Regions from separate parts of the Mus musculus genome. Here region 2 is reported to be linked to region 1. The links are microRNA targets in miRTarBase. Many come from high-throughput screens and were not tested one by one. Region 1 holds a microRNA gene; the other region holds the end of a gene's coding sequence.
What was found. The annotated mature microRNA mmu-miR-871-3p reads UGACUGGCACCAUUCUGGAUAAU and lies in region 1 at 2,316-2,338, shown strand. An mRNA with a match to its seed (bases 2 to 7 or 8) in the 3' UTR can be bound and repressed. Matches are read on the target gene's strand: a 7mer-m8 pairs with bases 2 to 8, a 7mer-A1 pairs with bases 2 to 7 and ends in A, and an 8mer does both.

Region 1 (4,068 bases):
CTGTAAGACATCTTCTCAGGCCCTGTGGCTGTTATTGTTTCTGTTGAAAAGGCAGGTATAATATTGATAAATTATTCTTCAGATTATACCTGGCCTTTTTGTGGTTGCAGTTTTTTCTTTATTTTGTACATTTAGTGTATTATCTGTTCTAACCTATTTTGTGGGATGAACCAGAATTCAGGAGCAGTTTTGGCAAGTGGAGTTGGGGAAATCAACTCTAGAGATCATCACTGAGTACAGATCTAATGTATTGTGCATTTGCAAGTGTTTTTATACAGCTTTTGGACCAATGGGGTATTGATACAAGCTCTGGAGTAGCCAACTATCCCACTGTTGGGAGGTGCCAGGCTATTAGCATATGAAGGGACCTCCATAAAAAATGGAAAGTAGCTATGGCCCTGTTCGGCCCATTGTGAGGTTTCCCTACTTTCAGTATCCAAATAAACAAAATCAGAATTAAAAAGGGAGACATTAACAAATAAAATTGAATAAATTCAAAGAATCATTAGCTCTTACTTTAAAAGCCTGTTCTACATAAATTTGGAAAATCTTTAACAGATTGTAAGACATTTTAGAAAGATACCTATTTCCAAAGTTCAATCAAGATCAAGTAAACTATTGAAACATCCCTATAACACTTAAGGAAAGGGAAACAGTTATCAAAAGAAAAAAGCCCAGGTGGTTTTAGTGCAGAATTCTACCAGGCTTTTAAAGAAAGAGCTAATGCCAGTACTGCTCAGACTATTGCACAAAATAGAAGCAGAAGGAATACTGCTAACTAAGAAAAAGAATTTCAGGCCGATTTATCTTGTCATATTAATGCAAATATATTCAATAAAATACTAAAAAAAATGCACCAGAGAACTAGGATAGGGCAGGTTCCTAAGAGTCAGTGGGGGTGATCTTAGCTGTGACTCACAGCATTGGGAATATGGAACCTGAAGATGGAACCTGAAGAGGCCATCTGCTGTAGCCAGGCAGGGACACCAATCTACACACAAAACTTTCATTTCAAATGTTATCCTGTCTGCAAGAAATGCAGGGACAGGGATGGAGCAGAGCCTAAGGAAATGGCCAACCAATAACTGGCCAACTAGAGACCTATCCCATGGTTAAGTACCAATCCCTGACACTCTTCATGATACTCTGTTATCTTGCAGACAGAAGTCTAGCATGGCTGTCTTCTGAGAGGCTCTACCCAGCAGTTGACTCAGACAGTCACAGCCAAACAGTAGATGGAACTTGTGGGCTCTTAATGGAAGAACAGAAGTAAAGATCTTGGGACCTGAAGGAGGATAGGAACTCCACAGGAAGACCAAGAGAATTCACTAACCTGGACCCTTGGGGCACTTAGAGACTGAGCTACCAACCAAGGAGCATACACAGGCTGAACCTAGGCCTCTCCGTACATATGAAGCAGATGGGCAGCTTGATCTTCATGTGGGTCCTAACAGCTGGAACTATTGCTAATGCTGTTGCCTGTCTACGAAATCCATTCCCCTAATCGGTTGCCTTCTGTCCTTCATCAAAGAGAGTGTGTCTAGCCTGGCAGAAACTTGGTATACTAGGGTGGGATTTTACCCAACCACCTACCCCCCCCCCCCGCCATCAGGGAAGAAAGGGAGGAAGGATTGGGGTGGCAGTGTTAGGAATGGAAAGTGAATAAATAAAAATAGACATTTGGGGTTTTTTTTTGTTTTTTGTTTGTTTGTTTTATTTTTTATTAGATATTTTCTTTATATACATTTCAAATGCTATCCCGAAAGTTCCCTATACCCTCCCTCCTCCCTGCTCCCCTACCCATCCACTCCTGGTTCTTGGCCCTGGCATTCCCCTGTATTGGGGCATATAAAGTACTACAATGAGATAATACTGTCCTAAAATAATGTGCTATATTAAATCAATAGAAAAAGGAAAAAATAGGCAGACAGAGAGATAAAATATACTTATGATGGCTTTTCTGCTCACAGGAAATATCACAAATCACCTCATTTACTTATTTGGACTATTGAGTATTATATTTAAAGTTTTTTTCAGAGGAAGTAATTTGGTTAAAAGTTCTGATAATTTGTTAAAGACATTCTAATACAATTAGTGGAAAACTAAAAAAGGCTTATTTTCATGACTCAACTCTTGACAGGAAGATAGGATCCATGAGAATCTTTTTTTCTGAAAATTCCAGGTGAAACTGGGTTTGTTGTCTGTGGCTCATAAATAGCTCTAGTAAGATTAAGGCTGGGGCATTGACAAATCTATGTTGTGTGAGTTGTGTGCAGTGCTCTATTCAGATTAGTGCCAGTCATGTGAAATACATATGACTGGCACCATTCTGGATAATGTAATGCTCACTATATTCTTCAAGTGATTTGACCCTGGATGTTCATGGTAGTATATACTTCGAAGAATGTTACATGCCTTCCATAATTTCAGCTTGTCATTTGATTCCTGTAGCATCTATAATTATAGAAAATATTTTCTTTTCTAGAAATCACAACTCAGGAGCACTTACAGTTCATAGAAGATAAAATTGGAGGATACTAAGTACCTTTATACTACAGGTAAAAACATGAAATGAATACAATTTTATATACTTAATTTTGACAATTAGACAAACAAACAAGAGTCCAGAGCATCCAGAGAGAAAAATATAATGTAAAGGAATATATATTTGTTTCCTTGAATGAAGTGTGGTGGTGGAGGTGTGTGATTCTTCTCTAAACACAGTAAGTATGAGGAAGTCTAATTTTTATCACAGCAGATCAGTCATGATTGTGATACATGTTTTGGTCCATTAGAAAATATGTTGATACAAGTTTTTCTTGTTCACTACCTGCCTATTAGGAATTTTCAGAGTGAATTTGGTACATCAATGAATAATTTTTAATGTTATTACCAGTAAGTTAGATTAAAAAATTAAAAAGAGTAGATTCGAAAATGAGGAAGTATAATTAAAATGGTAATAAAGAAAACCGCACATCTTCATTCCAAGTTGACACAGTCATTCACATAGAATGGAACTTAAGGGATCCGTTAAATAGAAGTCAATGGTGAGAGAGAATATCTTGTTATCTCTGAAATTATGAATAAGTCATAAGTTGGTATAGGTTTATGTTTTTTTAGTGCTGTGATGAAAGATGAACAGAAAGGTAGAAATTCCTGGTGTACCAGATCCACATTGTCTTTTGTGTATTTCTTTTCCCACAGTGGGGCTATTCAAATGAACTGCAAGTATACAGTAGCTCTCTGGGTAGAGGAAGGCTTATCTTTACCTCTTTTTAATGGCTTTTGGATGATAATGTAGGTGTAGATGAAATCACCCATGTTGTGTCTTCCTGGATATTTATAATTAGCTTTAGACCCTGTAGATCATTTGCTTATTTTCAAAATGTTTTAATTATCCATTCTTAGCCTCATAATAGTAATTCATAGGCTATATAAAATGAGTTAGTCAGGCCCGACTAAATTATTCATCCTCAGTATATTTTCAATTATATGCCTATAATAATGTTTGTACATTTTCAAGCAAAATGATAAAGAATATTAAAATAGTTTGTATATAAAGAAGAAATAGCAAATAAAAGTTCATATCTTTTTACTGTCATTCATCTAAGGAAATGGCAATTGATATAATCTAATATAATTTAAAGATAAGGTAACTAATAAGTGGGCAATTCTCCTGATGCTTTCAATAGATTACAAGAAGAATCCAATGTGCATTATTACTGGGTGTCATGGAGAAGTCTAGGAAATGACCTACTCATTAAATATGCCCTGGACAGTCGCAAATTGGTGCTGGTAGGATTAAATGAATGTAGCCAGGTACTCTCTGGGTAGAGTCAAGCTTGTATGATTCTCATAAGATCAGGGTTCTGGAAGGGATAGTGTAAGTGGTCTTGAAGCATTTTCCTTAACCTTAGGTTTTCTGATGATACTTGCAAAACCCAGACTTTTTAAATAGGATTTATTTCCTCATGAGCCTTTACAGATCGACATAAAGGAGATTATATTTTTCCTTGTAGTGAAAACAATATCAGGTAAATGTGTTGTAATTAAAAGATATATAGTAAC
Region 2 (4,068 bases), not on the chromosome of region 1:
GCAGCATCCAGACTCTAAAACCCTTAGCATGACTTGCTGTGAAGTGTTTCATCTGTCTTTGTGTTTGATTATACAGATATTTGTTTGTGAGAATATCTCCTCTGCAACATAATCTCTATGAGGACAGGGGCTGCTTTGCCTTCCAACATAGCCCCTGCCCTTAGCACGGCTACTGTTCTGTTCATGGGTATAAACAGACCGAATGGTGCATAGATTCACCAGACAACTCTCCTGGTTTTGAACCTTAGCAAATTATGTCTGTAATGCTTTATAACTACCACAGGGATTGGCAAGGTTGGAATTATCATCTCCATTTTGTAGTCAGAGAAACTGAGGCTCTGTGTGTTAAGTCACTCACCTGGTATATCCAAGCGGAGCACTGGGAACTCCCAGAGAGTCATGCATTCCTGGGAAGGCCAGGTTCCAGCTGTCTCTCAGGAATCTCTCACCATCATGTAGCTGCATCCAGCCCACCACCACTAACTAAGTCTATGTTGTGTTTGTTGCAGACTCAGGAGGCAGCAGGGACATAATGGCCAACTCTCAGACCTGGATGGCCGAATAGGAAGCCAGACCTCAAGCAAGCTGCAGGATGGTCGAAACAATAACATCCTGACCCATACATGCCCCCGAGGCTGCAGCAGCTAAACTCGACTGCCCAGATGACACTGTCTGCCCTGACACCCAGAACCCCCCTGTCCCCTGATGGACCCCATCTCACCCCTAAAACATCAGATGCAGGAAGAGCTCTGTATTCAGGGTTCTGGTCCTTGTTTCCAGCTGATTCGCTGTGTGACCTTGAGCAAATCACACATTCTCTGTGCCTCAGTTTTCTGCATCTGTGGAAGGGGTTAAACAGCTCTTTGCCCCATCTCCAGTCATAAAATTGTGAGAATCTGGTTGGACTGCAGATATGTAAACTCCTGGGCATTGATCAAGTGTTTATACATGTAAATTATCTCAATATCTAAAGTGTCCTCCCTAGCCCCCACACAATTTTAACCATGAGAACTTTGCAATTTGGCCCATCCTAGTTTGCTTGATGGAACTTTCAACAACATAAATAGCTGATATGTTTGTCCCTCTTATGGGACTTCCAGGTTCCAAAGCAACCAGGAAGAGTCACACACAGACTTCCTGGCCTTCTGGAATGGTGCAGCATAAAGACCAAGCCCAGGAGTTTCTGCTGCAAACAGGTTTTTCCCTGACTCGTGGAAGGCTGCCCCCACATTTGGATTCCAGCAATCACCAGCTATCACCATATCCCCACATCCCCGTGTTAGATGGCACTGTGTCTCTGGCCACTCCTCCCCACCACAGAGTGTCCTGGGATCCCAGAGGAGACTCATCCTGCAGCGTGACCTCAGTCCCCACCAGGAAGAATATAAGAGTCCAGTCAGCCTGTCATGCAAAGGCTCCCTGGCTGGGTAGTCAGAGCTTCCTGTTGATACCTTAGGAAGCCTCGGTGCTTAGAGTCTTCTGTAGACACAAGCAGAATCACTCAAGAAGCCAAGTATCTTATACCCTGGCCAGGAACCAGCTGACCCTTGAGCTGAGGATGCTGAGATTAGCAAAGAAAGCCAGTTGGCAGCTGCAGCCAAGACTGGAAGACCTCTGCAAATCATGTGCTTGCTCAAAGGTCAATTTTCTCATTCTCAAAAAAGGAAGGAGAAGGATGGCCTTGTTATGGGACTTGATAAGATCCCATGTGTCACACAGTGATGACTGACGTTGGCCATCACCCTCCTCATCATCATCTCCCTCCTCTTCCTCCTCCTCCTCCTCATCTCCCTCCTCTTCTTCTTCCTCCTCCTCCTCCTCATCTCCCTCCTCTTCTTCTTCCTCCTCTTCCTCCTCCCTCTTCTCTACCCTCCCCCTACTCTTCCTCCTCCTCATATTTATCATCATCACCACCATCATGACTGCAATCCTCCTCTGTTGGAGGTACTTTCCTGTTTTGGTGACATAGCAGGTCTGATTTCTGTGGACCAAGGATCCTCCAAGTTTACAGTTTGTTTTCTTTTCTTACCTGGAGCCTCTGAGGTCTGGACATCCCCGCTAAGAACATCCCTACTGAGATCAAGTGTTTTCACGTCAGCCTCTGTTTCCATTTTCCACTTTCTCACTATGATTCACGTCTATCAGTGTCATCTCTTAGATCTCTTGAGAGACATTTTAATGTATGGTAAGGTTTTACACTTTTCAAATAACTGCATTGTACCACCCCCTTAACTGAGTCCCCCCACCATGTCTATCTCCTGCCCACTGTACTGTCTCCAGCCCCTGTCTGCCCTTCCTGCCCTGCAGAACATCCAGCCGATCTTCTCTACACTGTGACCTAGAAGTATCATAATGTCTTCTTGGCATGAGCTTGTGAATGAGAGGAGGTGGTGAAGGGGAGGTGCACGGTGGGGACCCTGATTATTTGGCTCTGTTTAAGTCCATGTTCCTTGTTCAGAATAAATAAGCACTCAGATGTTCCTTGTAAATGGCTCTTAATTCAGGGATGGGTGGGACAAACCTTCTTATCCATAGGGGGCTCCACATTAATCAGAAGCAGAGACAAAGTGAAAAGATGAGTTTATCAGCTCTCTGTCACTGCAGCAAAACACCTGAGATAACTAACTTAGAAAGAGAAAAATATTTCTTTTGGCTTCTTTCTTTAAGGCCCCATGAGGAGGCAGCTTGTGGCAGGAGTGTGTGGTGGACTGACTTTCATGGGAGCCAGGGATCAAAAGAGTAAAGAGCAGTCAGAGTCCTACTGTGTCCCACAAGAGCATGCCCCCAGTGAACTAGAGTCCTCCATCAAGACTCACCTCTCAAATGTCTCACTCCCTCTAAATATCACCATTCTAGGACCAAGCTTTTAGAACACAAACTGTTGGGAGACACAAGATTCAAGCTATGGGTTGCTGTTCGAAGGACACATTGACTTTTCCCCCCAGATCAAATTGAGCTTGCTTATTGGAAGGTCTCCCCACGTGACTATAATTTATATTACAGCTATGTGTTTGTAAAGAGAGAATCTATCCTCCATGGTAGAAAGCCAGAGAATAGTGCACATAGGCAAAACATGCTTTCTGATGTTCTCAAGTTGCTACCTGGACCTCTCACACTCAGCACCACAGGAACCAATGCCTTCATTGCCTGTGGACGTCTCGGTTTTCCTCACCACCTTCCAGTCTTCCTCTCCACTGGGATGAATCTCAGCTTCCAACCGTGTAGGTTATCACATCAGTGTTAAAGGTTAATACCACTTCTTCCAAGGCCCCTGGGACTCGTGGCAACACTAATTCATGCCAGGTATAGCTACTCCGTGTGGGCTTCCATGAACATTTTCTGTAGCTTTCACAGAACTTGCTTGGTAAGGGGCAAGCAGCAGGCTTTTAATGAAGGAGATAGAGGAACACAACACAAACTGGCTGTGTGTATTTGCTTTGGGCACCGCCTAACCAACTCACTCCCCACTTCCCCTGCGTTTCTCAGGACTTTTTCTCTTCAATGTTATTGGGGACTGACCCTCTTCAGAGCCACTTTTCCATGAGGCCCAAGTTACAAATGTGTTTTTCATTCTTTCTCATACAACCTCCGTTCCCAGAGTGAATGACTTCAACCCAGCTGTGGCAGAAGAGCAATCAGATTAAATACATTATCCCTTTTTCTGTGTGAGATCTGCCTGAGGAGACACAGAAACACCATTTACCCCAAACAGGACACTGACAACACACTGAAAGAATTCTACCAAAGTCCAATTTGGTGAACCAATGAGGGCACTGGAGTTTCTTACAGGAGTATGGGACACAAAGGTAGCTAGCTATACCATGCAAAAACCCAACACAGTAGGAGCGATGACTCATGGATTCTGTAGTCTTGGAGTACTCTGAACAATTGGAAGCTGCTCAACAGATGGGAGAATCTCTTCTCTTTAGCAGGTTTTACTGTTTAACCCCAGGAAAGAAAGGGGCTTTTGAACCTCATAAGTTTCAGGGACTTTCTAAGACTTGTATGTTGTTCACTTCCTGGGACTCAAGGAGCCTCCCTTAGAAATACAATGTTTCAGTTCTGAAG

Region 2: the mRNA of Stk32b is a reported target of mmu-miR-871-3p. Seed matches in the 3' UTR shown: 7mer-A1 at 875-881 and 7mer-A1 at 1,393-1,399.

The regions. Positions count from the first base shown.
Region 1 is chrX:66,808,708-66,812,775 of GRCm38, reverse strand. It overlaps Mir871 (microRNA 871), which reads left to right and starts at 2,272; the gene lies at 2,272-2,348.
Region 2 is chr5:37,445,233-37,449,300 of GRCm38, reverse strand. It overlaps Stk32b (serine/threonine kinase 32B), which reads left to right. Exons shown (of 12, transcript NM_022416.2): 12 at 510-2,476. The coding sequence ends at 648. Among named protein-coding and RNA genes, the nearest start is that of Evc2, 110 kb to the right of the region's middle.